Linked DNA regions of Notamacropus eugenii. The protein of the gene in region 3 interacts with the protein of the main gene of each other region in a pairwise test. Links are inferred from orthologs where the notes say so. Each region holds a gene or a part of one and is shown on either strand. Other genes may lie near its edges.

What was found.
Region 1: the proteins of ATXN3 (region 3) and DNM2 interact in binary tests that used the Homo sapiens proteins (3 or more experiments, as listed by UniProt). The link is inferred for Notamacropus eugenii from reciprocal best matches to the Homo sapiens genes ATXN3 and DNM2.
Region 2: the proteins of ATXN3 (region 3) and ARHGAP19 interact in binary tests that used the Homo sapiens proteins (3 or more experiments, as listed by UniProt). The link is inferred for Notamacropus eugenii from reciprocal best matches to the Homo sapiens genes ATXN3 and ARHGAP19.

The regions. Positions count from the first base shown.
Region 1 is NC_092875.1:79,229,078-79,239,324, reverse strand, and holds the start of DNM2 (dynamin-2), read left to right. Parts: upstream 1-5,814; 5' UTR 5,815-5,974; coding exon 5,975-6,135; intron 6,136-6,417; exon of another isoform or gene 6,418-6,664; intron 6,665-10,247. Other genes in the region: QTRT1 (queuine tRNA-ribosyltransferase catalytic subunit 1), read right to left, coding at 876-954, 1,878-2,016, 2,506-2,574, 3,866-4,165. UniProt on the Homo sapiens protein: Catalyzes the hydrolysis of GTP and utilizes this energy to mediate vesicle scission at plasma membrane during endocytosis and filament remodeling at many actin structures during organization of the actin cytoskeleton.
Region 2 is NC_092872.1:214,076,403-214,086,200, reverse strand, and holds the start of ARHGAP19 (rho GTPase-activating protein 19), read left to right. Parts: upstream 1-5,995; 5' UTR 5,996-6,047; coding exon 6,048-6,103; intron 6,104-9,798. UniProt on the Homo sapiens protein: GTPase activator for the Rho-type GTPases by converting them to an inactive GDP-bound state.
Region 3 is NC_092878.1:38,406,507-38,416,113, reverse strand, and holds the start of ATXN3 (ataxin-3), read right to left. Parts: upstream 4,506-9,607; 5' UTR 4,438-4,505; coding exon 4,414-4,437; intron 1-4,413. UniProt on the Homo sapiens protein: Deubiquitinating enzyme involved in protein homeostasis maintenance, transcription, cytoskeleton regulation, myogenesis and degradation of misfolded chaperone substrates.

The DNA.
Region 1 (10,247 bases), on a different chromosome or scaffold from region 3:
CTACTAGGTACCATGCTAAGTTCTGAGGCCACAAAGACAAATGCAAAAAGTGCTGGCCCTCCAAGGGCTTATGTTCTAATAGGGTAGACAGTACATATAGAAGCAAATATATACAGGAAACATACGAAAAGAATACAAAGTAACAAATGAGGGGACCAGGTAAAGGCTTCATGGAGAAAGATTCGCTTGAGTTGAGTCCTGAAAGAAACCAGGGAGCGAGAGGGAGGAAGGAAACCATTCCAGGCATGGGGGACGACCAGACCAAAAGCATCAGTCTGGGAAGAGGGAGCATCTCAGGTGAGCAAAAGCAAGGAAACAAGTGGAAGAATAAGAAAGGAAAGTAGAGACCAGCTCATGAAGACCTTTAAATGCCAGAAAGAGGAGTTTACAGAGTTAAGAGAGAGAGAGAGGAGGGTCAGAACTACCCTTTGGGAAACTGCCTCGGAAAACGTAGAGAGCATGGAACCGCAGAAGGGGAAAACCTGAGGCAGGAAGACCAGCTAGATGAGGTCTGAACAAGGGGGGCATCTCTCCAATTCCCTCAGCTGGCAAGCTCGGTGCCTTCCTTTATTCTCCCTCACCCCACCCATCCAATCTGTTGCTAAATCTTCTTTCAATTCTCACATAATATGTCCCCTTCTGTCATCTCAGATGCCACCTTGGTAAATGGTAACTGAGAAGGAGCAGTTAGTGGGGGAGAGGAGAATCAGGAGAGAACAGGGTCAGGAAAATCCTGAGAGAAGAGGGTGGTCTGTGGGATCAAAGGCTGTGATGAGGTCAAGGAGCTAGAAGGAGGAGGGGGGAGAGAGAGAACCACAGCTTAGATGATGAGAATTCACATTTCTATAGTCCATGAAGATTTGCAAACCGCTGACCTGTGCATGGCTTCCTCCACTCGAGAACCCGTCAGAGTGCTGCTGACCACATCATCCAGCTGCATCATAATATCTGAGCCTGGAAAGAAGGGGAAGGGAGAGGGAAAGTCAGAGAATCTCTACTGTTGGGAGGATGGTTGGGGATGGATGCAATCAGGACAACCCTCTTCTTAAAACACGGTAAGATCTAGAAAAAAAACAACCCAGAAATCAGCCAGAAAGGAGGAAAACAAATAAGCCAGCTTTCTGATGCCTTCTCAAGTCTCTGCTCTTCCCTGAAAGTGATTTTATCCTTCTCAACTTCTCATATACTGTGTCAATATTTTCCCACCCTACCTTATATCATATGTATCTACATATCATACCTCTCAGTAAGCTCCTGGAAGGCAGAAATTGTACTCTTTTTTTTTTTTTGACCTTATGTGCCTAGAGTTTAGCCCTGTGATTAATAAAAATTTTTGAGTGTCTTACAAATAAATACATTTACATGGGCAGGGGTGGAATAAGATTTGATACAGCTCCACTATGTGCCAGGCACATATCATCCCATCTGTTCCTCATAACAACCCTTCAAGGTAGGTGCTATTATATTACCTCCATTATACAACTGAGGCAAACCGAGGGTAAGTGACTTACCCAGGGTCACACAGCTAGTGTCTGAGCTGGGATTTGTACTCAATTCTTGCTGATTCCAGGCCCAGTACTCTATACACTGCCACCTAGCTTGAAGACTTACAAAGCTCTTCACTTTGGAAGGGCCCATTAAGTAAATAATGAAAGAACTGTATTCTCCACTTTACAGATCAGCTAACCAGAGAGGAGAAATGACAACCACAGTCACAGTCAGAGCTGAGATTTGAACTAGGGTATCTACTTTCAAATTCTTCCCCCTACAAACTACCTTCTGCTCCCCAGTCCCCCTACTCCCATCCCAAGTCAGCTTCCTGGGAAGAAAGGCCAGAAGCTCTAGTCTCTAGCTCCTCTTCACCATCCAGGGCTCACCCAGTGCATTCTGAATCTCCACAGACTTCTCTGGGCTCAGCAGGATCTCGGCTCCATCATATGGGGAACGGAATCGCACTCCTTCCTCGGTCACCTCAGACAGGGCCAGCAGGGACACCATTTGGAAGCCACCACTGTCCTGTGGATGACATTCCCTATTGACCTCAGGTCCTCAATAAGGATCTGCCACTGTCCCATTGAGAAAATAAGTTGACAGATCTAGAAACTGGGAGATGATCAAAGCCAAACCCCTCATTTTACTGGTTGGGGGGTGAAGGGACACAGGACACTGAGCAACAGAAAGTGTGTGCCCTGTTGAAGGCCATCTAATCCTCAATCCAGGGGTTCTTTCCACCTCACTGTTCTCAGCCCCTGGAACAATGACAGCAATTCCTATTTCTAGAGCGCTTTAAAGTTTACAAAATGCTTCTCCAAGACAACCCAGGGAAGCAGATAATTCAAAGATAATTTTTTCCTGTTTTTATATTATAAAGTGAAACTTTAAGAGGCTCAAACAGGGAGTCAGGAGCCCATTCAGGCTTCCTCTCTAAGTTTGGGGCCCTTTCCATTAAAACACACTGCTTTTCCCAGTGTCCCACCTCCCTACCACCAAGGGTTCCAGACCCACCGTGAGCAGGTTTTGGTTCCAGTTCATAAAGCCATGCAGCCCACCGGCCTTCTGTATGAGCTCTGGACCCTGGGAGAGAAGATTCAGTCACTACAAGTGAGAGACCAGGACAGAGGTTCCTATACTGTTACAGAAAAAGCACGGGAGTGGGGAATCTGCAACCTTGAGGCCATGTGTGGCCTTCTAGGTCCTTGGGTGTGGCCTTTGGACTGAGTCCAAGATTTATAGAACAAATGCTTTTATTAAGGGGATTTGTTCTGTGAGGTTTGGATTCAGTCAAAGGGCCTACAGGGGCACATGTGGCCTTGCAACTGAAGGTTCCCCACCCCTGGGTGAGCCTGATCTGGAGGTTGCCCACCTCAGCCATTCCCATCTTTGGGTCCAAAAGTAGGGAGCCCTTGATCCCTCACAGGCCTTAGAGATGAGAGGATTTAAAAGGAAGATTTAAAATTAGAGATTAAGACAATTTAAAAATAATACAGTCTAACCCCCATGTTTAACCACCAGGGAAACTAAGGCTCAATGCAGGGAAAGGTACCAAAGGCTTCAGATTAAAACCCAGGTGCCCTGACTTTTTTGACTCCACTAATAAGAATTTGTTGTTGTTCAGTGGTATCTGTCTCTTTCCAATACTATTTGGAGCTTTCATGGCAGAGATACTGGAGTGGTTTGCCATTTCCTTTTCTAACTCATTTTACAGATGAGGAAACTGAGACAAAAAGGGCTAAATGATCCTTCAGGGTTACACAGCTAGTAAGTGTCTGAGGCTGGATTTAAACTTATTTCTTTCTGACTCCAGGCCAGATACTATCCACTGCCCCACACAGCTACTGCCTAGTATTCAGCTGGGGGTTAAGTAGAAAGAATGCCTGCCCCGGAATCAAGGAAACTCGTCTTCTTGAGTTCAAATTCTGCTTCTGACACTAGCTGCGTGACCCTGGGCAAGTCACTTAACCATGTTTGCCTCAGTTTCCTCATCTGTAAAAGGAACTAGAGAAAAAAACAGCAAACTATTGCAGCATCTCTGCCAAGAAGATCCCAGAGGAGGTGGGGAAGAGTCGACACGACTGAACATTGCTAAAACATTCATTACATAGCGCCTTAAGATCTGCAAAGTGCTTCCCCATGATACTGTCATCCACATTTTACCCTTCGGTAAAGAGGAACCCGTGGCATGCAAAAGTGAGGGGACTTGCCCACATCTGCACCCGATCTTGAATGCGGGCCTTCCCCACTCGAGGGCCAGCGGTCAGCATCTCCCCCAGCTCGCTGCCGCCTCCGGGGGGGTCCCGGCGCAGCGGCCCAGCGCCCTTCCCCACTGCGGGCCAGAGGTCAGCGCCTCCACCAGCAGCGCACTCACCGGCCTCATGCCCAGGTGGTACGTGTTGCCCAGACAGATGCGGCAGCCCAGGCTATCCAGCTGCGCTGCAGTGACTCCCTTCATGGTCCCTTGCGTCCCCACCGGCATAAAGACCGGGGTGGCCACGGTGCCGTGCGGCAGGTGCAGCTCGCACGCCCGCGCCTTGCTGCGGCCGCACGCGGCCACCACCCGCAGGGCCAGGGCTGCCGGGGCCCGGGTCCCTGGGCCCGCAGCAGAAGCAGCTACTGCGGCAGTCGATTCTGGACACCTCGTGGACGGAGGCTCCCCGGAAGCCGCCATATTACTACCTGGTCACGTGGCAAGCGGAGCAGGCGGAAGGCGTCTCGGAGCCATGGCAACGGGCTTCCCGGCGGTCAGAGAAGGGCCCGCTTTTTTTTTTTTTTTTTGAGGCACCAGAACTGGAGTCGGCAAATTAATACACTTAAAATGCCTGGAACATCGTTGTCTGAATTCTGAAAATGACGTGGCCCTGATTTATTCTCCGACTCCGCCCTTCCTGAGAATCCCATCCTGGGTCAAATGGGGAAGTCGGCTAGGACAGCCTGTTTTACATAGCTCGGTGACGTCACGGAGGCGCGCTGTGCTGGGAGTTGTAGTTTTCCGCAGTGACAAGCTGCCTGCCGCCTTAGAAAAGGAGGCTGGAACGTGAGGAACATGGTCGTTAGAAGCCATAAATCCGGAGATTCTTAGGTAAAAGGCATCCATAGATAGGATTCTAGAATGTAGCATTAAGCACGCACAGCCTGATTGTCCTGGGAATCGATGGGTTCCTTTTCACTGCTGCTGTTAGCCAAAGACTGGATAGCCATTCAGTTGATAAATATTACATATGCAGGCAAACCGCAGGGGATACAATTACGAAAAAGACCTGCCCTCAAGGAGCTTATAATCTAAGGGAGGGTGGACAATGAAAAGGGGAGGAGTTGTGAAGAAATCCAAAAGACAGCTGCTTGGTTGGAAATTAAGAGATATCTGGCCTGGGAACCCTCTATGGAGGTTTTGGGAGGAGCTCTCCACCCACCTTCCATTCAGAGGGGTCCCAGAGGCAGAGGGGTGAGGACCAACGCTTAACTGATCTTGCAAGACGATAAGGTTGCTGGGGCCACGACGTCCAAAGCAGTGCAGCAGGGTGAAAAATGACCACCTCCCAAAAACCAGGGATCCTTGGGGTATGGAGTTGAACCGTATAGCTTTATCTTCATCCGTTCTAATCGGAAGATTTCTTTTGTCATAATTACTAATTAAGCAGCATTGGGAGGAAATCTTGATTCCCTCCAGCAGGGGACGCTGATTTTCTCAGAGAGCTCTTCTAAATCTAGAAGTGATCGTTGTTTCGAGGAGTCTGAGCGTTAACAAATAAGAGCTAACGCTAAATTGATCGACAGATGCATTTCTCAATCACAGACAAAATTTAGCCAGAAAGCACCGCCCCGTTTCTTGCTCTAGTTAACAGATAGTATGACAGCTTTTCTGGCCAATGGAATAACTGAAGGAATCGGGCTACTGTGACGTATTACCCAATCACATTTGATTTGGTGGGTGGAGTCCGCTAACATCACTGGTTTGCTAATCCGACAGACAGGTAGTCTCACCAATGAGAATGCGAAGATGTCTTAAAATAGGCGGGACTAGCATGCAATTTCCGGAAACGCCGCCCCCGGCGTTGACAACCAGGTTCCACGGCCTATTGGGTCTCGGGAAGAGTGACAGTTCCTTTATCCAATGAATTCTCGAGAAAGGAAAAGGGGCTTAGGACATTTTCGTCCATAACCATCATCCGTAAGCCCGTACCTCTATTCCATTGGCTTTTGATCGAGAGTGACAGGAGTCGGGGCCAGTAGGCAGTGGTTTGAAGGGTTTGGGGCGAAGCCTCGGCTGGGAGGGCCAGCCCCGGTTGCGTAAGGGGCGGGAGGTCGCTTGGGTCGGGTGTCGCCTGAGAACCGGATGAGGCGGCGACTGTGAGTCGAAGTTTGGAGTCGGGAGTTGGGCTGAGTCCCGGGGGAGCAACCGCCGGCGCGCGGGGCAGGGTCGTTGGGAGGCTGGGGAGGTCTCGCGGGCCGCGAGGGGGGAGTCGCCGCCGCCGCCACCATGGGGAACCGGGGGATGGAGGAGCTGATCCCGCTGGTCAACAAGCTGCAGGACGCGTTCAGCTCCATCGGGCAGAGCTGCCACCTGGACCTGCCGCAGATCGCCGTGGTGGGCGGCCAGAGCGCCGGCAAGAGCTCGGTGCTCGAGAACTTCGTCGGCCGGTGAGTCTTGGGCAGGCTGCGCCGGCGGCGGAAGATGGGCGCTCCCCCTCCCCGCGGGCCCTGCTCGCTCCGCCCGGGCGCAAGCGGCTTGAGGAATGGGCCCTGGACGCGCCTGGCTGCGCCGCTTGCGTAAGCCTCGGGCAGAGCCGCGGGTGGAGGAGCGCCGCTGGCGGGTGCGCGTGGACGGCGTAGAGGGGGTCCGGGGATGGGCCCCGGCCTAGGCCCCCTCCCCCGGGGGGGTCATCCGGGGGTCACTCGGACCTCACGCGGTCTCCGACCTCTGACCCGGGGGGAGATCCACAGCGGCGAGCGTCGCCCTTCTCCCCCTGGGGAGGACTCCGTGTGCCCGCCCGGCAGGTGCCCGGCGGACGTCTGACAGCCCTCCTGGCCCCGAGCCGTTTAATGCCGGTCTGGAGCGGGGAAGGAGCGGGTCTCCGTAGTCGTACAGCTGGAGGACCTCTAGGTCATCAATCCTTTCATTTTACAGAGGAGGAAACCGAGGCCCAGGGCGGTGACGTGACGTGCCAAGGTCACTGTTGGCTTCCCTGGCATTATCAGGGTGTGTTTGTGCTGGGAGGGGGGTCTCCCAACCAATTGAAGTGCCTGGCGGGGAGGGGCGGGGGAACACCAGCCTGGTGCCTTTGTTGCCATTATCGCGTTAGGTTTGGCCGATGCTCTAGGGTTTATTATTCTTTGCAGACTGCCAGGCTTGATTAGAGTTAACTGCAGCCCCGGTTATCTCGGCTCTGGGCATTTGAGCTGTCGAGGGAAGGACAGCGCTGGGAGACTGGATCCAGGGATTCATAAGGGGACGTTGTGCCTTGTAGACCTGACAACTCCAGGTTCAGAACCATCTCAACCCCCTTTATCCATCAGAGATGACTGGTTGGTTCTCCCCTACTTTGCAGGATAGCTTTAGGAGATGATAAGCTTAGTGGGTCGAGACCAAGTTTCAAAGTGGACTTTCAATGTAGTTCAGTGGTAGCTAGTGGAGCAGCTACTCCCCTCCCCCCCCAATCCTTCCTTTCGCTTGTCAAAGAGAAGTTCGAAGTAAAGTGTCTTCTTTACTTCGAAAAGGGCTCTTGAGTCATGTTTAACTTCCTTATTCTGGGAGGGCAACCTGACTGTGGTCATGTGTGTCCTCTCCTTCATCCCTATTTAGCGGCATAGGCTCTTAGTGTGGCCAACACCTTCCTGGAGACCCACTCTTTGCATGTCTAGGTTTACAGAGAAACGTGTGCCAGCAGTCTAGAAACCCAAGTTAGATAGTTGATATTGTACCTTTAGATCTTTGCAGAACACTTTCAAACAGTCCCTGCTGAAAGTAACTAATTTACTCAAAGTGTTAGGGTTTTCTGTTTGTTTTTGTGATTATAAGCCTTTTCTGGCCTACAGTTTGACATTTGGTAAAATTTTGGGAGTCCTTTGTATTAGTAATAACAGTAGTTGCTTTATCTGTCATTTCATTTGATCCTCAAAGCAGCCTGTGGGATATGTACTGTTGTTCAGTAGTGTCCCACTTTTGGTGACCATATCACACCAGTGCTGTCCATGGAGTTTTCTTGGCAAAGATGCTGGAATGGTTTGTCATTTCCTTCTCCAGTGGTTTGAGGCAGAGGTTACAGTAATTTGCCCAGGGTCACACAAGACTGGATTTGAGCTCTGGTCTTTCTGCCTTCAGGCCCAGAACTTTATCCACCGAACTACCTAGCTGCCTTTGAAGTATATACTACAAACACTATATTAATTTATTTTAAAGAAGAGGAAATAGGCCCAAAAGTGGCTAGGCCATAAACAAAGTAGGATCTGAACCCAACTATCTCCAGTCTCAAATCCTGGAAACTTTTCATTATATTGTGCTGTTCCTTGACCATTAAAAGCATTCATGTAGCTGTCCTGCCTTTCTTCCCTGGAAAGCTCAACAATAAAACTGACTCAGGTTTGAAAACAGTTGAAATTTTAAAAATTCACAAGTACCCTACACTGCAGACAAATAATATTGAGAACTTTTAAAGAATTAACCAAGCCCTTCCGTCTTAGAAAAAAAACTGTACAGTCAAGCACAGTTGCAGGCAGGTGGTAGTTTTTCTTCCAGAATTTGTTTTAGTCCTGCCATAGTGACATTGTCACATTTAACTGGTGGTGTGTTTTTGAGGCGGTGACTGGAGGGTGACTGTGAATGGACTGACTTGGGTGATTTTCAAATTCCTTCACTAGATGGGAGGGGCAGGGCAGTATGTAGTTCTGATAAAAGAGGTTCTTTTCCTCTCCTTCCCAACCCAGTCTCTGTTAACTTCCTATCACTCAGTCCCATCTCCCTTGAGGGCTCCTTGCCTTAGTTGGGGTGAATGCATTAATTACACCAGGGTTCTCACTTTATTTCTTTATTATTAAAATAAAATGGCTAAGCTCTCAGGTTTGGTCATCTTCATATCCCCAGTCCTTTAAACACTACCTCATCAGTATCATTTATTTCCAAAGTCATCACCCAGATACAAGCTTTCATTCAGTTGTTGTTCTGTCTGGTCTGACTCTTGTTGACCCCATTTGGGGTTTTCTTGGCAAATGTGCTGAAGCGCTTTGCCATTTCCTTCCCCACTTTATTTTAGATGAGGAAACTGAGGCAAACAGGATTAAGTGACTTGCCCAGAGTTGTCTTCAAGATGAGTCTTCCTGACTTCAGGCCCAACACTTTATATCTGCTGTGTCACCTAACTACTCATATTTCTTCCAATACTACCTGCCTAGTTCTGACTTTTATTATAGCCTCCAATAGGTCTTCACCGCTATCCAGTCTTTGTTTTCCAATCAATTATTTACATGCTATGTCAAACTTCTCTTCATTATACATATGTCATAACCTCTGCCCAATAACCTCCATTGGTCTACTGGGCGGGGTTCACATTCCTTAGTGAGACATTCAAGGTCTTCAGTATATTTTGTTGATCTTTTCAACTTTAACCCTAAGTACTACTTACTCTCCTTGTCATCTATCATAGGAGCTAACTGGAAGGAACCTTGGAGATCATCTAGTCTAGTTCCCATGTATAGATCAGGAGACTGAAGCTCCTGAATGCCAAATCAAGGTCAGGGATTGGGAGATTTAAAGTCAGGTCCCCAGATGCCAGTGCCCTTTCCCCAGTACAGCCAAACCAGACTCAGTCTTATCCAACTCATATGCCTTTCCCTACATGCAGAATTCCCTTCCTGCCTTCCCCCACTTGGAATTCTCACCCATCCAGGTCAGATGTCATTCCAGGAATCCTTTCCTGATGCCCCCCACACCTCTTGAGTCTCAGTAATGATTTTGTTTGTACCTTTCTAATGCACTCAGCATGTATTATTTGTTTATCCCCAGATTGGGATGAAAGCTTATCTGTTCAAATCCTTGTGTTTTGTCTGTGAGACACTGAATATGGAGGCCTAGGTTTCCTCTTAACTCTGCTACTAAAGAGCTAGGTTACTTTAAGTAATTCACTAAACTTGTCGGTTCTCTCGTTGCAGTATCTGACATCTTCTCTAGATCTAACACAGCTCTCTGTATGTGTCAGTTCCCTCACATACACATACACACCCTACTTGAAGGCAAAGGCCAGTTCTCAAAATCAGTAACCAGCACAGTACAGGGATACTAACCATTTGATCAATTGAAATTGAATTGATTTTGCGACCATAAACTCTACCAAGCACAATTATTTTTTATTATAATTATTATTAAATAAAGTAATTTTTCTTTTAATGAAAAGCTTCTGCTCAATTGACCTCTTCCAGACTGACCACTCCTCACTTCTTTCTTCCTAGTTATTTGTGTATGTGTGGGGGCTGGGGTTCCACATAATCTTGCAGAATGGCAACTTATCAAGCATTTAGTAAGCACCTACTTCTTGGTAGGCCCTGTAGATTCAAAGAAACAAAATACAACCCCTGGACTGATAGCTACAGATGTCCAGTGATTTGGGGGTGGCTTTAGTAGCTGAGGGGGTCAGAAAGTGCTTCCAACTGTTGAAATTTCCTGTTGAAATTTGGTGCTTAGACTGAATTTTGAAGGAAAAGAGGGATTCACAGAGACAGAGAGGAGGAGTGATTGCATTATCAGGAAACAAAATACAAGG
Region 2 (9,798 bases), on a different chromosome or scaffold from region 3:
ATTGGAGAAACTACTCCTTTTCACTGACCTGACAAATCTGTCTTACCCTTCCCTCCTCTTCTCTGTGTTCAGAGGACACCTCTAATGCAGAAGCAGGGACAGCAGGTCTGGGGCTACAAGAAGCCTTTGCAGTCTCCTCTATCCAAGACTGCTTATTGACTACCTGGGGCTGAAGCACATGTTAGTCACATATAGTTTCCTGAGCATGTCAGAGAATGGAGATGCAAAAGAAGCTTTTTTCAAGCCCAAAGGACAGCAGCAGCCAGTAGAGTGGTAGAGGAGCAAGAGTTTGATAGGAAGAATTGGCTTCTTCAGATGGGGACGCACACAGGCACAGCAGTTTTGTTACTCTTGTATTGAATTTAATATACAATGAAAAAGCAAACTGTGTAATGAAAAACAGCCTCTCCTGTTCTTTGAATATTGGAAAGGTCATATTTGTCAAGTTCATAATAAAAGCAATTTTTAAAAAAAGTCAGAAGAATCCATGACAGAATCAGATTAATAATAATAATACCTAGCATCTATAAAAGGTTTTATAGTTTGCAAAATACTTTAGAAATATTATTTCCTTATCCTTACAACAACCTTGGAAGGTAGGTGCTATTATTAGCCTCATTTTATAGATGAGGGAACGGATGGAGACAGAGTTAAAGTGACTTTCCCAGGATCATAGTTAGTGTCTGGGGCTCAATTTGAACTCATGTCTTCCTGATTCTAGGTCCAGTGGACTATCCATTGAATCATCTGGCTGTCTCATAAATTCATATTTGTCTATAAGGTCTGACAGTAGAGTTTATGGACTATATTTCTGGACTCTAACATTTTGTGTTGAAGATGGAAAATCTTGATTTCCTAGGAAGCATAATTCTAGAATCTAGTCTTCTAGCCCAAAGAGTTAGATTTCTTGGGTGGTACCAGTCAGCCTTGGGGATTTCTACAACAAACAGCAACCCTTAGATCAAATTCTGAATAGTGTGTCTATTGGAGAAAGAACTTCCATATGTTTCTGGCCATAGAAGCAGCAAGGAGATTTAAAGTCATGGCAGGCATACAACATGGTGGGTGTAAGAGATAGGAACCTTATTGCCTTCCCACTCCTCTCTATTACACATAACATAGGCCTAATGGGAAGAGGGTTACCTCTCCAGCAGGCCCTGAAGTGTGGTTTATGGGAGACCAAACCACAGGGGCACTATGTGTGTAGGACCCTGTTAGAGAGCTAAGGATTCACCAAATTATTATAGTGTTGCCTGTTAGCCATCCCTAATTCATTTCCCTTCTTAACTCTTTGAAATGAAACTTCTCTCTCCAAAGTCACTAATAATCTCTTGATTGCCAAATCTAACGGCCTTTTCTCAGTCCTCATCCTTCTTGACGTCTCTGAAGATTTTGACACCATAGGCCATATATTTCTTCCTAGGTTTTTGTGACATGGCTGTCTCTTGGTTCTTCTCCTATTTATGTGACTGCTCCTTCTCCTTTGCTGGATCTTAGCTCAGGTCACGCCTACTAACTGGGAATTCCCCAGTGCTCTGTCCTGTGCTCTCTTCTTTTCCTTATTTCACTGGGTGATTACATCAGTTCCCATGGATTCACTTATCATCTCTGTGTAGATGAATCTCAGATCTACTTGTTTAACCCAAACCTCTCTCCAGACCTTTAGTCATATATCTTCAACTGCCTATTAGACATCTCAAACTGGATGTCCCAAAGACAAATTTAGCTCAACATGTCTAAAACTGAAATTACCTTTCCCCTCAAAGTTTCCATTCTTCTGAACTTTCCCAGTATTATTCACCTAGCTAGGCTCACAATCTAGGTGTCATTTGCTTTTGCAACTTTTCTCATATAGTCCCCCTTCTTTCCTCTGACACTAACTACTACATCTTAGGTTAGGGACTCATCACTTCATGACTTGACTATCAGAATAGTTCCAAGTCTCTCCCCTCTCCAATCTGTTATCTACTCTGTGGACAAATTACTCTTTCTAAATAAATTGAAGGTCTGATCATATCATCCTCCCTCTTAATCCTCCCTACCCACTAAAACCAGTGACTTCCCATTATTTCCAGGATCAAATTAAAAAAAAAAATCCAGAAAACAAAAACAATTTTTTTTGCTTTTAAAGCTCTTTGTAACCTCTTCCCTTTCTACCTTTCCAGTTATCTTATATCTTACTCCTCTCCTCCTAGCCTGTGATCCAGGGACTCTTGGACTCCCAGCTGTTCTGACACATTAACACTGTCATCTCCCAACTCTGACTGGTTCCACTACTCTGTCATACCTGGAACACTGTTCCCTCCTCATCTGGCCTCTGCTTCTCTGGCTTCCTTCAGTCTCAGCTGCAACCTTCTGCAAAAAGCCTTTCCCTTCTCTCTGAGATGACTCAGTTTATCCTAGACCTATCTTGCATGTTGTCTCGCCCATTAGAATGTGAATTTCTGGGGAGCAGGGACTGTTTTTTTTTGTTGTTTTTTGTTGGCTTTCTTTGTAACCCCAGGGTTTAGCACAATGTCTGCTCATAGTAGGTGCCTAATAAATGCTGGTTGTCTGACTGCTGTCAACACCAATTTTGTTTCCTCCTGAGGGAAACTTCTTTGAATACTTTATGATGGACTCCTGTGAGTTCTCTGAAAGCTCCTGGGCTTGTCTGAGTCCTTAAGCAGCTATATGGCTCAGTCAGTAGAACATCATACTTGGAATCAGGAAGCCTCTTTATGAGTTCAAATCCAGTCTTAGATACTTATTAACTATATGATCCTGAGCAAGTCACTTAATCCTGTTTGTTTCAGTTTCCTCATCTGTAAGGAGAAGGAAATGGCGAACCACTCCATACCATATCTTTGCCAAGAAAGCCCAAAATGGGGTCACAAAGACTAGGACATGACCAAAATCACTCAACAACAAATGAGTCTTTAAGTCTTTTGCATTTTATGTTGGGTGAATAAAGGCTAATACCCAATGTGGATTTGGTTACCTTGAGTTTTTGTATAGGAACTGGGTACCCCAGTTCCCCACAAATATGGGCATTGGGAGTAAACTCTAGGTGGAGGTAACATCTCCTGAGCTCAGACCTGAACTGCATGAGCCCCAAGCTTGAGGGGTCCTGGGACATAGGTTCCAAATGGAAAAGACCTCTGGGAGCTTTTGTTCTTGTTCTCTGAAGAGGGGCTAGAAAAGAAAGAGGGTGTGGAATGGAAACAGCTTCTACCCGAAGAGGCTTGAGGCTCCTTAGGCCACTTGTTGACTTTTACTTTAAATTTCCTATTAGTAAATTCCTTACTCATTAGTAAATGATGAGTGACACCTTTGGGGCCATGCTGAGAAGGAAAGTAGATCCAGTAGAGGTTAGGATGGGGATAGGAGCTATTCTTATGTTAAGATTTTTAGAGAATTCATGCCTCTGAATTGGAATTCAGATTTGGAATTCAGAGTGTATACGGGCTGGGGAGCATGAAGAGATACAATTTATACAAGTTTTGAAAGCTTGTACAGGCTTAGCACCCTTTAGCATACACTCTAAACTTAGGGGACCAATCCTGTGTGTATGTTAACAGCCCCTAAGTGGTACCATGAATAGAACATCAGGAAGACCTGAGTTCAAATCCTATTTCAGGCACTAGCTTGTGTGAAACTGGCCGAGTTGTTTAGCCTCTGTCTCAGTTTCCTCACCTGTAAAGTAGGGATAATAACAACACCTATCTCCCAGGATTATTGTAAGGGTCAAAATGAGATAATACAAACTGCAAAGTGCTACATAAATGACAGCTACATATTACAAAAACAACCCTGAAAAGCAGCTGAACTGAGATCAATTATGATGACCTGTCCTGGTTTGGGAGAACAGATGAAGAAACGCTTCCCTCCTCTTGACAAAGAGGTGGGAGATTGTAGGTATAGAATGCTCAAGATGGAGTTGTTTTGTCACTCTGTTCTGCAGAACTATTTTCTTTTGCTACAAGGGAGAGGTGTATCAGGAAATGAATGTGGTATAAAAGGATGAAAGTCATCAGTAAAGTAAGAAATGAAAAGCAGACTAAGGGAGTAGTCAATAAGTACATTTAACTTAAGGTATTTAGTCTGGGAAGGAGAAGAAAAGTTTAGTCTGAATTTCTGAGGCAAGCCGTGGAGCTTTCTGGGGGTCCAAACTTAAGAGCATCACAATTTTTACCCAGACTTGGGGGAAAGAGAGAAAAAAGATTTCCATTAAAGAGGCAGTGAGGTGGCTCAAAGGATAGAGTGGTAGGCCTGACTTCAAACGTGGTGGCCTCAAACACTTACTAGCTGTGTGATCCTGGAAAAGTCACCTAACTTCTGTTTGCCTTAATCCACTGGAGAAGGAAATGGCAAACCATGCTAGGATATTTGCCATGAAAACCCCATGGTCCACCAGGTCATGAAGAGTCAGATATGACTGAATAACAACAATTCAATCCACAAATTTAAGAAAGAAGCTTCTGGTTCTCTGTGCTCTGCACATTATCACTAAGCCCCTCTAACTGAAGGTAGCTTCTTAATGTGTTCCCCTCATCTCTCTGCTTTCTACCTGGATATAAAAATTTCCCTTACCCTTCCTCTCTCTCTAGTTCTGAAATTTCATGGAATTCTCCATCTCCAGTTGCAGTCTTCAGACTGGGTGATATTTCCTGTCTTGTACTGGTATAAGAAGGGGTAGCTGGGAGGTAGGAGGAAGAAAATGCTTTACCATCATTCATACCACATTTGCCTGGTGATGTCCAGAAAAGGGGTGTTACACTTGACAATGAAGTCCTATACATGCTTTAGGACAGACTTGTTTTGAAACAAGTAAAATATTATTTAATTTTGCTTACACATTGAAAACTCAAGACAGTGGATTGAGGTAAGGAGGAAGCTCCCTCCACCCTTTAATATCTCCTTTCTAAGGAGAATAAGTGGGGAGGGGGAGAGAGTTGCAGTATCTCTCTATACACCCTCCTCCCTCCTCTGGCACTGACCCCATCCAGGTGCCAGGATGCGCCCTCATCCCCTCACATCTGGGTTACTGCAATAACCTGCTTGTTCTCCCTGGTCTCCCCCCCCCCCCCCATCCATCTTTCTTTCACTCCACTAGAGAAGTGTTCTTCCTAAAGCGAAGGTCTGACCATGTCACCACCCTCCCCCCCTTTAATAAATTATCTGTGGGAGCAAACAGAAAAGTCTCCGTCTGGCTGTTAAAGCCCCTCATTCTAACCCGGCCCCTTCCAGTCTTCTTGCAGCTTTCTCTCCTCCAGGTACCCTACGTTGGCCCTGTCTGCCCTCCACGCCCCCAGCGCTCTCCTTTCTCACACCCCTCAGTGACTTCTTTCCGAGATCCTCTCCAATTTGTCCCGATTATCTGAGTGTCAGCTCCACCCTTTGGCCTTTCTTTGTATTCTCAACACCCAGCAGAGCGCCTGGCACATAGGCTTGGCACCTTTTCGGGATGCTTCCTGTGCCCTCTCTGTTTCCTTATCTGCACATTTTCCAATGACATTCAGCAACTTTTATGAAGTCCCTACTGTGTGCCAGGCACCGTGCTGCCTCTACGGAAAGGGTGCGTGTGGAAGATGATCTACACGTCCCTCTGTCCGTCTGGTCACTTATCGTACTTGAGTTCTGTGAGGGCTGGTCACGTGTCATTTTCTTCTCTGACTCCCCAGAGTCGTGCACATAGTAGGTGCCTAATAGGTGCTGAACGACAAAACGCCAGGGGAAGGAATTCGTACTAATTTGGGTGGCACAAGAGAAGTGGGAGAGAAACCCAAATAGGATTATTGCTTCAGCAAACGTTATCCACCTTCGTGGGCATTTCCGGCTTCAAGTTCAAGGCGGGCGCCAGGAGCGCTTAGAGCCCAGGCAGGTTTAGACCTGAGCCCCACGTTAGCGCGGGGCGGTTGGTGATTTGAATAGACCAATGGGAAGGGCGGCTCAGGAGCGGCCCACCCTCAGCCAATCCCCTGCAAGAGGCTCGAGACTATGAGCCAATAAGGAGGAGCGGAAGGCGGGGCCGTGGGCGGGAGGGGAGGCTGAGGTTGATTACAAAGATGGCGACCGAGTCGAACAGTGACGGGGAGGTGCAATATCGGGGACAGAAGAGACGGTGAGTGAGGTTCTTGAGACCGCTCCCCCGGTGCCCCGATCGTGGGTGGACGCTGCTGCCGCCAGCAGCCCGGTGGCGGCGCCAGCGGAGGGTTTTCTTTCTCCCTCCGATCTAAATCTGCAGAGGCGCGCGGCGCGTCCATAGTAACGCCGGCTCGCCGGGGCTGTGGGTGGGTAGCGGCCAGGTCACGTGGCCCCAGGCTCGCGCTGAGCCCTCTGCGCATGCGTCCTGTGTCACCCGCGCCCCCCACCCCCCCCCTCGGACCGCTCCTCTGTCTCCCAGGCTGACCTTCCTCTCTTCTCCCACGACGTCTCCCGTGATGATCTCTGTGGCTCCCGTGGATTTCCAGAGCCTGCCCTACTCCCCCGGGAGCTCCGGCCTCGGGCACCAGCTGCCTGCGGGCCGCTTCCGACCCGACGTTGTGAGGCGTGTGTCCTAAACAGAGCTCAACATCTTGGGAGCCCGCCTCCCCACAGCGCCACCCCCCTCCCCCAGGCTCGCCAAGTGGGGTGCTCCCCCCGGGACCCAGGCTGTCCCCGTGCTGCTGTCGCCCCACACGGACCCCCCAATCACCGCACCCGCCTTGCCTCGGGGGGAGGCAGTGGCTTTGCCAGGAAGACCCCGAGTGGGGTATGGAGGAGTCAGTCACGCACGTGTCTGCTGCGGAGGGCTGCGAACTCAGTGACACGGGCATGCACCTACACACGAGCGCATACATGCACACATGCACGCACACGCACATGCACACGTGTCGAAACTCACACGTGTGTCAAAACTCACATGCATGTTGAAACTCGCACACGTGTGCACACGCACACGTGTGTCCACATGCACGTCCACACGCACACCCACAGAAACGCACATGGATGCACACACATACATGCACGTGCACAGAAACGCACATGGACGCACACGCATACACGCACACGTGCACACAGTTACAGCACATGTGCTGAAACGCACACGTGTGTCGAAAGGCACGTGCGTGTCCACGGGTACACACGTGTTGAAAGGCACACGTGTGTCCATGCGCACACGTGTGTCCACATGCACGTCCACACGCACACCCACAGAAACGCACATGGATGCACACACATACATGCACGTGCACAGAAACGCACATGGATGCACACGCATACACGCACACGTGCACACAGTTACAGCACATGTGCTGAAACGCACACGTGTGTCGAAAGGCATGTGCGTGTCCACGGGTACACACGTGTTGAAAGGCACACGTGTGTCCATGCGCACACGTGTGTCCACACGCAGATGTCCACATGCACGCACGTGTCCACATGTACACACACGTGCATGCGCAGAGAAATGCACATGGACGTGCACACATACATGGGCACGCACACAGCTACAGCACACATGTGTTGAAACGCACACATGTGTTGAAACGCACACACGTGTCGAGAGGTGCATGTGTGGCAGAAGGTGCACACGTGTCAGAAGGCACATGCGTTTCCACGTGCACACGCATGTCTGGAAAGAACTTCCCTGTCTATTATTGCTTCCTGCATTTTGTTATTATGTAGAAATGCTGTTGATTTTGTAGGATTTACTTGATAGCCTGCAACTTTGCTGAAGTTATTGTCTCAATTAGTATCCTTGAAGATTTCCTAGGATTTTCCAAGTAAACTATCCATATATCATCAGCAAAGATAATTTTAACTCCTTTCTACCTATACATATCTAATGTATATCCGTACTATGTTGTAAGGTTCCAAAGGGTGGTGAGATTTAGAAAGGGAAACATTGATTAAGTGTTTATTCCTGGACATTATGGTTTCTTTAAGAGCAGGTCATGCCAAACTTATCAAATATCCTTTTTAGGAAATTTTTTAGTTAGCTTCTTAGCTTTTTACTTAGTTTCTGTTCTTAGGAAGCTTTTTCTTATTTCAAATCTAAATCTGTCTCTCTGAAACTTATGCCCACTGTTTCTAGTTTCAGGACTATGTAGGACAATTCTGTCTGTCTTCCATATGACAGTCCTTCATTTGTTGAAAACAAGTGGCATGTTTCCCATACATCTTGTCTTCTCTGGGCCAAACATCTTTAGTTCATTCGGCTGCTCCTTATATAGTTTTATTTAAGGTCTTTCCTTCCTAGTTGTCCCTTTTTTGGGCACTCTCTGTAAATGTCCTTCCTAGAATGTGCTTAGAACTTGTCAGTATTCTGGTGTGTTCTGGCTAGGATAGGGTGAAATGGAATCATCATCAGGGAGGTATGTATGCATGTGTATATGTATGGTGACTACCAGATTCCACTGTTTATTTATTGCGTTTTCTTAAAGTATTTCTAAGGCTTTCATACACAGGAATTGGACTTGGGCTTTCATGTACAGGAACCTGACTTGTTCTGTCTGCACCAGTGAACAGAAATGGAAGCAACTGATAGCAATTGACTTTAGGCAGATTTGGGTTTGATGTAGGTAAGAACTTCTTAACCCATTTAACATTTTCTGGAGGTGGTAGTGGGCTTACCATCACAATAGATCTTTAAGATATGGAAGATGAACACTCTACACAGATGATGGAGGGGAGATTCCTCTTTTAATACTGGTTGCAATAGATTTTCTCTAAGACCTTTCCACATAGGAGATTCTGTGGTAGAAAAAAGGGAAAGTACCCTGGCATGATTTCCCTGAGAAAGAAAAGGTATTGAGAGGGGCCGGTTAGTTTCTCACCCTGGCCACCAGGTGGGGTAAGTAACCCAGAACTACTTGTTGATAAGGCTGTTATAAAATAGTCCAAGTTTTGGAGTCTGTATTAGTATGGGATGGAGGTAAACTGCTGTCTGTAACTTGGAAAGTTCCTGCATCTGTGTATACCTAGAGAACGCAGAACTACTTTCTGGCAAGACGGAAAGATTTATGCAAACCTATTGACAATTATTCATCATTCACCTCCAGAGTGGATAATACTTCACTGTGTGCCATGAATGAATTCAGGGAAGATTTTTTGCTTCCTCTTTATTATGGAATGCATCTGGGAGATATTTATCTTGCAGTGAGTGAACTCCAGCCAGCAATTTTAGATTCTGGCACAGGGTAGTGACACATTCAGGCAAATTTGGTTTTATTTCCAAAATGTTGTAGAAAAGCTTTCTTTTTGCAGGGTGGGTAGATGATTGGGTGATAAGAGACTTTAATTGTTCTTACAGATGTTTTACTTAAACTCTGCCAAGACACAAAGATAAATAATGTGATTAGAATTAGTGGGGTAAGCTAGGAATTTTCTGCATCAGTCAAGTACACTGTGTGCTATGCAGTTAGGCCATCTAGCTATTGCTTTGGTTGTGCCTTCACGAATATCCTGAAAAACTGAACATGTTTTTGTGGTTGTTGTTAGGAAAGTGCTTCAATCTAGGTCTTTTTAGGGCTCTTAAATAGGTATAACATCAAAATTCAATTAGAAATGGTTAGTGCTACCATATAGGCACCTGGAGTTTGGAAAAATGATTCTGTTTGGTTAAAGTATCCTTTCCTAGGCAGTATATATTTTAGGAATATATAGCTATATGTTCTAGGTTGCCTTGGTTTAGGTTCTCGTTACCTCTCACTCTACTCTTGTAATAACCTCCTTTGTAACTGATCTCCTTTCTTTCAAGTCTTTCCCCACTTTATCCTTCTCATAGTTGCCAAGGTGATTTTCCTAAAGCCTGGTTCTGTCCATGTCAGTTCCCTA
Region 3 (9,607 bases):
AAAATAAGATCATAAATCTAGATAATGGAAGGGACTTCAAAGGCCATCTGATTCTCATATCTATATATCTACCCGTTTTTCCTGAGCTCCAGTCTGTCATCACCAACTCCCTTTTGGACATCTTAAACTTTGGTTGCTGAGTGCAGAATGGATTGAAGCATGAGTAGAGAGGCTTTAGGAAAACCAACTGGCACATGCTAGGCATTTAATAAATGTTGATTGACTGTTGCAATAGTCCTGGCAAATGGTAAGGAGGGCTTGAACTAAGATGACTGCTATGTAAGTAGAGAGAAGGGGACATAGAAAAGAGATGTTGTGGACACAGGAACAATAAAATTCACCCACAGATCAAATTTGTGAGGATGAGTAAGAGTCAAGAGTTGAAGCCATGAATCTGGGTGACTGGAAAAACAGAGATGCCCTTATCTAGAAAAGTTTGAAAAAGGAATGAGTTTGGGGAAAAAGAATTACTTTTGACCATATTGAGTTTGAGATGCTTACAGGACATCCAATTCATTTCAAGATGTCCAAAAGACAATTAGTGATGCAGGAATGAAACTCAGGAGACAGACAAAGCTGGATATAGATGTGGGAATCATTTGTACAGAGATAAGTGAGCAAATGAGAGTTGATGAGATCAGCAAGCATGTTAACATAGTGAGAAGACAAAATTGTTCAGGGCAGAGTCTTGGAATGAATAAAGAACCAGCAAAAAAGTCTGAGGAGTAATCAGACAGGTAGGAAGGAAAGAGGAGAGAACAGTTACAGATACCAGGAGTAATTGATGATCAACAGCCTAAGTACGTAGAGAGGGATGAAGGAAGCACGATAGTGATTGAGAAAAGGTCATTAGCTTTGACAGTAAAGAGATGATTTCTGACTGGGGAAAGTAATTTCATTTGAATAATGAAAATAATTGAGGCTGTGAAGGGTTTAGAAGACAGCAAAAGTAGATGAAGTGGAGGCATCTAATATAGATGGCTTTCCCAAGGATGGTAGGTGAAGGATTTTTTGAGGATAGGAGAAACAAAGGTAGATTGCAGGGAAGGAATATATAAGAAGAGATTGAAGATTAGAGAGAAAATAGAAGTGATAGAGGGGGCAATCTGCTGTTTAGAATCAAGAATGCATACATGTAGAGAGGGTTTTCTTGGCAAGGAGAGAGGCCCTCTTCATCCTACAGTGAAGCTGGAGATAGTTGAAGAAATGGCAGAATGATGTAAGATGAAGAGAAGATGAAGGAGTTTTTTTGTTTAATGGCCTCAATTTATTTGGAGATATAATGCAAGCTCCTTATCAGAGAAGATGCAGGAGACAAATAGGTTTTGAGTAACCTCTTTGGTGCTCTACTCACTGTGCCACCATGTTGCTCCCATTTTCTTCTTCTGATACTCTCCTCTCAAATCTACTTATCCAAACCTAACCTTTGCCTTGACTTAGAGTCTTTAATCTTCTATTGTATGGTCTCAAAAACTGGAAGTCCTTTAGACAGCCAAGCTCAAAATCTAGGTGTCATCTTCAAATCCTTACCCTCATGTCTCTCACAAATGCTCCCTTTTCTCCTCTGACACAGCCAACACATTGGTACAAGCCCTTGTCACCTCATACTTGGACTCAAGTTCTCATTCTGACAATACCAGTGACCCTGGAGAAGTCACTTAATCTCTCAGTTCCTCAAGCAATGTTCGAAGACCATAAATTGCAAACGAGGTGACCATCTTCATTGGCAGAGGAAGTTTCCTATACCACTGAAATTACAGGTTCCATCCTTCCAAAATGTAATTTGGCAATTTCATGAAGTAGCATGTAAAAGATTATTTAAAGTATTCTAAAATGAAGCACTCAGAAAGACATATAAGACATGTATTACAATAGCATTGAAATCAAACAGAAACAATTTCTGGGAGCTGCATAGTGACAAATTAATATTATCTATGTTGTATTGTCTTTTTATTCATTTTGTTAAATTTTCTCAATTACATTTAAATCTGATTCTGCAGCCTTCCAGCATGAATTTGACACTTCTGATGTATTATACAGAAGCAACTGCCAATAAAGTTCTATTACCAATGACTATCTCATGATATGGAGGTAACCCCCCATTCATGAAGACTATATCAGTTGAATGAAAGCAGTGGCTGATCAGAGGATGATAAATTTATTTTGAAAGGATTTTGAAAGTAAACTTTTCCAATCTGTTAATTTTACACATAAGGAAACTGAGACCCAAAGAGGTTATATGACTTTCTCAAAGTCATGTAAGTACTAAATGGCAGAAACAAGATTCAAACGCAGGTGCTCTGGCACCAAATTCAGTTCTTCCTGTGGTACCAACAAAACCAGAAAGACTCTGAGTAGAAGAAACAGACTGTCTATTGAACAAGGAAATGCTTAGCTGTTTGGGGAGGCTCAGCACCTGAATGTTGGTGAATTTTGGAATCTTAGAAACTCAGCAAATAGTCTACCAATGTGTAGAAGGGTCACAAACTACATCATGGAAGGAGAATGTATAATTATAGAATTATATATCTTTTGAAGTATTGAAATATACATAAATAAAGCCTCATTATATGTCTCTCTGCCAGACAACTATACTTCCTTTTCAAGTAAAACAAATAATCAATAATGCTAATCAAGGGTTATCTATACCACTGACATCATCAAAATGAAAAATCTATTATCTTCTTTAAAATTTTCTGAAAAATCTTCCAACTAAAATTTTCTATTTTTTAAAAAATCAGCTACTTCAGACTTATTATAACAAATCCATTATAATGCCACTATGATGGATTTTTATTTGGTAGCTGTGAATAAATTGTTTAAATAAAGTACTGACCATTTAAAGTACAAAAAAGACCCTCTACCTGAGCCATCAAAATAATGTCATAGTAATATATAATGGATAACATAAAAGACTCCACTTTTCCAAACTAATCCTGCCAGTTTTCCCTTCTACACAATGATATTTACTATAAAATAAGAAAACAACACTTGCCCAAAGCTGTTTATGGAAAGTTTCACCCACACCCAATGGGCCTGATAATTATAAAGAGAGAAGACAAGTCTCTCCACATACCACAACCATTTAATTGCCCTTATTTTCAAGTGGTCATTTAAGAATCAAAAGGAAGAAACAATCAGGAACAAACATATGTACAAAAGTCTTGGGCAACTAATTAAGGGTTGGAGATGCCCCAGTTCAATCTCATGTCAGCTAAGGAGTAGCACTCATCTAATGAGAAACTGAAGCTGAGCTTAACTTCTTATAAAGATGAATATGTGTGTGGTCCAGACCACGCACACCAAAACCTCTTCTGGGCTAATTATTTCAGTGGAGGGGGGGGGAGAAAAGATTTCTGGCTTGGGGGCTTTTAATGACATACAATAATACAAATATTGACTAAAAAACTACTCTGCACTGGACACTGTCAGGGATAATAGTTTTTAAAATGAAATTAGTGTTTTTTTCTCTTAGAAGGCTTGCAATACAGCAAGGAGATAAGAAATATCAATAGAAATAGGGATGATACAAAACATTACACGATAAATACCTCAAAGAAGTAAAATACAAAGTGCCATCTGAGGGCTCAGGGAAAGGTCGGGGGAAGGTGGTATTTGAATTGGATCTTATGGCACCTACCAAGTTTTCAAAAATGCTTTCCTCAAAAGCAAGCCTTCAAGGAAGGGAAGACAAATCCCCAATGAAACTAGGGTTGGAGTGGGGTGTGACCAGCTTTGAAAGGACCACACAGCTAATGCCTTCCAGACCCCGAAGTCCAGGAGTCTTTCTGCTACATCGCTCTGCCAGTTCAAAGATGGGTAGGACTTGAAGTATTGAACTAATTAAAGAATTAGTTCAGTGCAGGAGAGGGAGGGCTTTCTGGACGAGGCTTCTCAGCCTACTTACCCACCCTACAAGGTGGGGAGGTGGAGGTCTGGGGATCTCCCATCCTGCCAGCAGCGGACACTGGAGCTTGGAGCGGGGAGGAAAAGCGGAATTGTAATAAAGATCATCACAGCAAACAATAGCTAGCTAGGGAAGAGCTGATCCAATGCACGCTACCACATCCAGGGCCCAAGGCATCCACGAACACGACCCCATCCCCTTCCAAGTCCCTTCTTCCGCCCCTCCCCGAAGCTTCTGACCCACGCCCCGCCGGTCCTTCCCGGACTCCTCGGAGCCCGGCGGCCGAAGGTCGGTGAGGAGGGTCCTTGGGCAGGCGAATGAGTGGGTGCCCTCGGAAGGAAGCAGCTGCCCACGCTGGGTGCCCCCTCCCCACGCTAGGTAGGCCCCGACGGGAGGGTGGAGGCAGCAAGAGAGGCCGCCTTGGCTTTCTGGAGAACCCAGGACTCCCTTCACCTCCCGCACCGCCCAAGGCAGGAAGAACGCCCTAGCGATCCTCGGACACTTACTTTCTCGTGGAAGATGGACTCCATGTTTATTTGTCTGGAGCCAACGGCCCCGAGTCGAACCACCCCCCTCCGGCACCTCCCCCCGCCCCCCGCCCCAGTTCTGTCCCCATCCCCACCCCCACGCCCTAGCCCAACCCGCTCCGCCGCGCCCCGCCCACGTGCTCCCGACGCTGACCAATCAAACGCTGGAGATCCGAGTCTTGTGAGAAGCAAGTGGGAGGGGGGAAGGAGGGAGCGGGTCCGCGAAGAGCCCTTCCCTTGGCGTAATCTCCCACGTGACCCTCGCGGGGCGGCCCCGCCCCGTCCACTCGGCTCTTCCGGGCCCCTGCTGGTCGCGTTCCTGGAGCCTGCATCCTCTTTGGGTTTACGGGAGGACCTTTTGGACGGGGTCTAGCGCCAGGGGCTCTTCTCGGTCGTTTGACTGAGCTGGGTCCAGGCAGGCCAGGTGGGTCCTTAACCTTTCAGGATCTTAGGCTTTGGAGCCCGCAGGGGAAGGGCCGTAGAAATCCTGTGGTCCTACAGCCCTTGTTTACAGAGGAGGAAACTGAGGCCCGAACCGTGGGGGTGTGAAGGCTTCTTCCCCCGTCACCTTCACAGTGCTAGCCTGTGACAGACGAGGCTCTGGCGAGGGGTAGGGAGCTTGGAGTAGTTGAAGAGACACGGGACAGCTGGCTCAAAATGTGAATGAATTAGCTTAGACCTTCTCTGTAGTCATTGGGAGCTTTATTTGATGCAGAAGCAGCGGGCCTAAGACTTAGCAAGGAGCTAAATAAAGGCAATGGTATAGGAAGAGGACCAGACTTAAATAGGATGATTTTAGGGTTTCCTTGTAGGGGCTGTAGGTCTAGGGGAGGTCTTGCAAGATAAAAGCACCAGGTGAGGACTATGAATGACACGATAAGGAAATCCCATTCCCCCGGATGAGGGGTGGGGATAAGGAATTATATGGTCCAGGATAAGGGGAAGTTGTGGTAAGGGGACACTTTAGGGCACCCAGGGTTTCACAAAGTCAATATTATTTTAACTCTTAGGGCACTGTTCTATCTACCTCATTTCCCCACTCTACCACTAGGTAGGAGAATTCTTTCAGGGGAAAAGGGGTGAAGGTCGTTGTCTTCAGTAGCTGCTTCCTGCTGAACAGGGGCAAAGAGTCCACTTCAGGGGCCAGAATAGGTTGGGGGGGCAGGTGATCAACGTGGGATGCAGAATGCAGTGCCAACTGAGTCCAGGGAGGAGAGAGGCAAGACACTCGGGGTCATCAAGGTCAGGGTGGGTATCCTAAAAGTTACTGTGGGTGAGAAGACACAAACCAAACCAGGAGATTAAACAAGCACACGCTAAGTATAACTATGATTGAGTGAAATGACCAATAAGGGGGTCACAATGAAGGGAAAGAAGGGAGAGAAACCACAACCCCCAAGAGGAGGTAGGGAGAGATAAAAGGCTGGAGTGGATATAAATCCAAGAGGCTGCCCGTAGTACCCTTTGAGTGCTCAAAGGAAAAATTCCATGTAAGACCTTCAGGGAATATAGGGAAAGAGCAATGGAGAGTAAGCTAGTGTCCTGGGCATGATGGTGACACACCCAGCAATCACATACTCTGCCTTGCCCCACAGAGTTCTCTGTTTGAATTAAGGCTTTAGACTTCCAGTTGTGAGGAAGCAGATGGGATAAGAAATTCATGTTTGTGTTGGCAAGGAACTAAATATTACATAGGTAACTTTTATTACATAGATAGGTGATATATCGATTCATGTGTATGTGTGTGTCATTGTATATGTATATACACATATGTATGTATATTTTATATATATATGTACACGTACATATATGTATACAAATACAGTTTTTGTGCTAAATTCATAATATATACTAAACTAAGTGTCCCAAAATACTTTGAACTTTCGGGATACTATTACACACACACACACACATATATATATATATATATATGTGTGTGTGTGTGTTACTCACATACACACTACTGACTGTAAATTTTAAAACTTCTCAGTTTGAGTGGCATCACGCAACCAGAAGAAATACAGAAATTAGCATGGGCCAAACCTAGAAACAAGCAATTTCATCGTTTTGCCCCAGCTAAATGAAATGCATATGTATTTTAAACTAAGTAGTCCTCCAACTTTATTGCAGTAACCATTTATTAAGCACCTACTGTGTTCCTGTCTTCAAGGAGTTTACTTTCTACTGAAGATATATCATGTAGAAAGGAAGGGAAACAAGCATTTATTGAGAGCATCCTACGGGTCAAGCACTGTGCTAGGTGGTTTTCAAGTAGCATCTCATTTGATCCCCACTGGAGCCCTAGGAGGTAGGTGCTATTGTTGTAGTTTAACTACTTGCCCAGGGTTACACGACTAGTAAGTGCATGAGGCTAAATCTGAACTCAGATTTCACATTTTAGCTCTATCCATTGAGCCACCTAGCTTAAAGTTTGTAAAGTACTTTGTATGTCATATCATTTGATCCTCAACACATCTGTGTGAAGTATAAGGTGTGCTTATTTCCAGTTTGCAGTGAGGAGACAGGCTTAGAAAAATAACTTACCTAAAGTTCACCCAGCTAGTAAGTGTTTGAGACAGGATTTGAATTCAGTTCTTTCTGGAGACACATGGTATAAGCCTTGAAAGAAGATGAGGATTCAAAGAAATAAGTCAGGAGGGAGTTCATTGATTATTGAAATCAGTTCTATCTGACTCCAAATCCAGTACTCCACCACTTCACCTAACTGCCTCAGTGGTTACATATTCTTCACGCAGAATATGTAAGCAGGTGGGAGGTTGAGGAGGAAGAGAATATTCATTCATTACATTAAGGTTTAGGGAAGACTTCAAAGAGGAGACACTTGGAGTAAACCTTGAAAGAAGAGAAGTCAATAGGGAGTGCATGTTTGTGGTATTATGTGCAGTGTTTAGATAGGTAACATCAGGTAGTCCAACTGGACCAGAGTGAAGGGGAAGTAATAAAGAACAAGGCTGAAAAGTTGCCAAATTTTATTGTTTCTGTTGCCGCATTTCTTTACTATGTCTCCCTTCTTTTCATTCACACAGCAACTACCCTATTTGACCTTTTGCCTGAAAAAATGCAATAGCTTGAACCAATTATTCTCTGTCCTAAATTTCCCCCCACTCCAACCATTCTCCACAAAGCAACTAAAATTATTTTTCTAAAGCATAAATCTGACTATGCCCCTACTTGATAAACACTAAATTACCTTTCTGATCAAATAGAAACTGCTCTGTTTAGCATTTAAATGTCACTAGATCCTGGCCCTTTTTTACTTTCTATGACTTCCTATTTCCATACTTTTGTACTGGCTGTTTCCCATGGCTGGCATGCTCTCCCTCCTCACTTCTGTCTTTTGGGAGTCCCTGGTTCCTTTCAAGACTCAACTGGAGCACCGTCTTCTTCAGGAGGCCTTTCCTGGTCCTCCCCAGCTGCTGGTACCTTTTCTTCCAGGGTTACTTTGTGTCTGTTTTGTACATGTCTGGTTTATACCAGTGTATGTTCTAGTTATCTCCTAAGTAGAATATAAGCTTCTTGGGGCAGAGACTGTTTCAACTTTGTCTTTGCATCCCTAGCTCATTAGCATACATGTTTGTTGATTGAAGTTGAAATTAGATTGTGGAATGCCCTAAATACTAGGTTGAGAAATTTTATTTCACCCCAGAGACTACAATGTGTTGCTGGAAGTTTGCGAGTAAGGAAGTAGTTAGACTTAGGCTGAAAGAAATCTTTTTGCTTGGTTCAGAAATAAAAAAATCTCATTTTTCTCAAGAAGTCCTGGGGGCTTGAATTCAAATCCAGTCTCTGTCACTATCCCTTGTGACCTTGCCCAAGTCATTTAACTCCTCTGCTCCTCAATTCTCTGAAGGGATTGAATTAGATGATGTGGTTCACTTCTAGCTCTAGATCTATGATTCTGTGAACTGACTCCTCTTTAGAAGTGTTAATGAGTAATAAAATACCTCCAGATGAAGCCAGCTAGGCATTTACTTAATTATTGTGCCTGTTCTGTGTATAGCAATGTTCTGGGAGCAGGAGTGAATACATACAAAAGTGTTTATTCAATTGAAAACTACTTGATAATTTAGAGGGAGAAGCAAGACAGATACATAAAAAGTTAAAAAGCACAGCAAAGCAGTGGCAGAAAAGTACCAACTCAGGGGTGGGGAACCTTCGGCCTCAAGGTCACATAAATCCTCAAGTACTGCACTTTGGCCGAATCCAAACTAGGGTCCCCCACTGTCCTAATTTCTTCCATGGAATTTTTCTATTACTACTATTAATAACTAGCATTTCTATAATGCTTTATAGGTTTGAAAAGGCTTTACAAATATTTCATTTGATTCTCATAATCTTGAGAGGTAAGTGCTATTACTCCCATTTTACAGATTAGGAAATTGAGTCAGACAGATTGTGATTTTTCCAGGGTCACACAGCTAATAAACATCTGAGACCGAATTGGAACTCAGGTCTTCCTGACTCCAGGAGCAACATTCTATCCACTGTGACACCAGCTGTCCTTACTGGCAACTAAAGAGGTAGTTTCAAGTTGGGAAGTGGGACTGACCTCAGGAAACCTGGGTTACAGTGCCAGCTTTGCCATTAATTCACCATGGGAACATATGCAAGTCATTTTTTGGTCTCTGCTTCATCTATAAAATGTTAAGACAATATATAATTGCTGTAAAGTTCCCTCTAGTAGGTATAACTTTAAGACATTTTATATTCTTCATCTTATTGGTAGTACAGGGAAAGCACAATGACTTTGGAGTCCCAAATCCACTATTTAACTAGCCTTGTAGCTGTGGCAACCTGTGAGCCTCAGTTTCCTTATCTTTAGAGTGGAAGTATTCAAGCAGTTAACCAACATGTATTAAACTCCAGCTGTTCATAGAGCGCTTTGTTGGGCAGTGATACCAAATTTAGATATGATATGGTCCCTGCCTAGGTGGAGTTTATAATTGTGTGTGGGGGGGGGGGGGTTAAAGAAACGTATGTTGAAAGAAAATGTTAGTCACATGGTAGGAGTCTGAATTCATCACTAGTATCCTTGCCATATTAAGAGAACCCAGGAAAGAATCCCAGAACTTTAACTCTCTTGTGGCAGACTTATGGGAGAACGTGGGACAACAGCCACACAGAATGGGCAAGCACAGATGGGTTTTGTTTT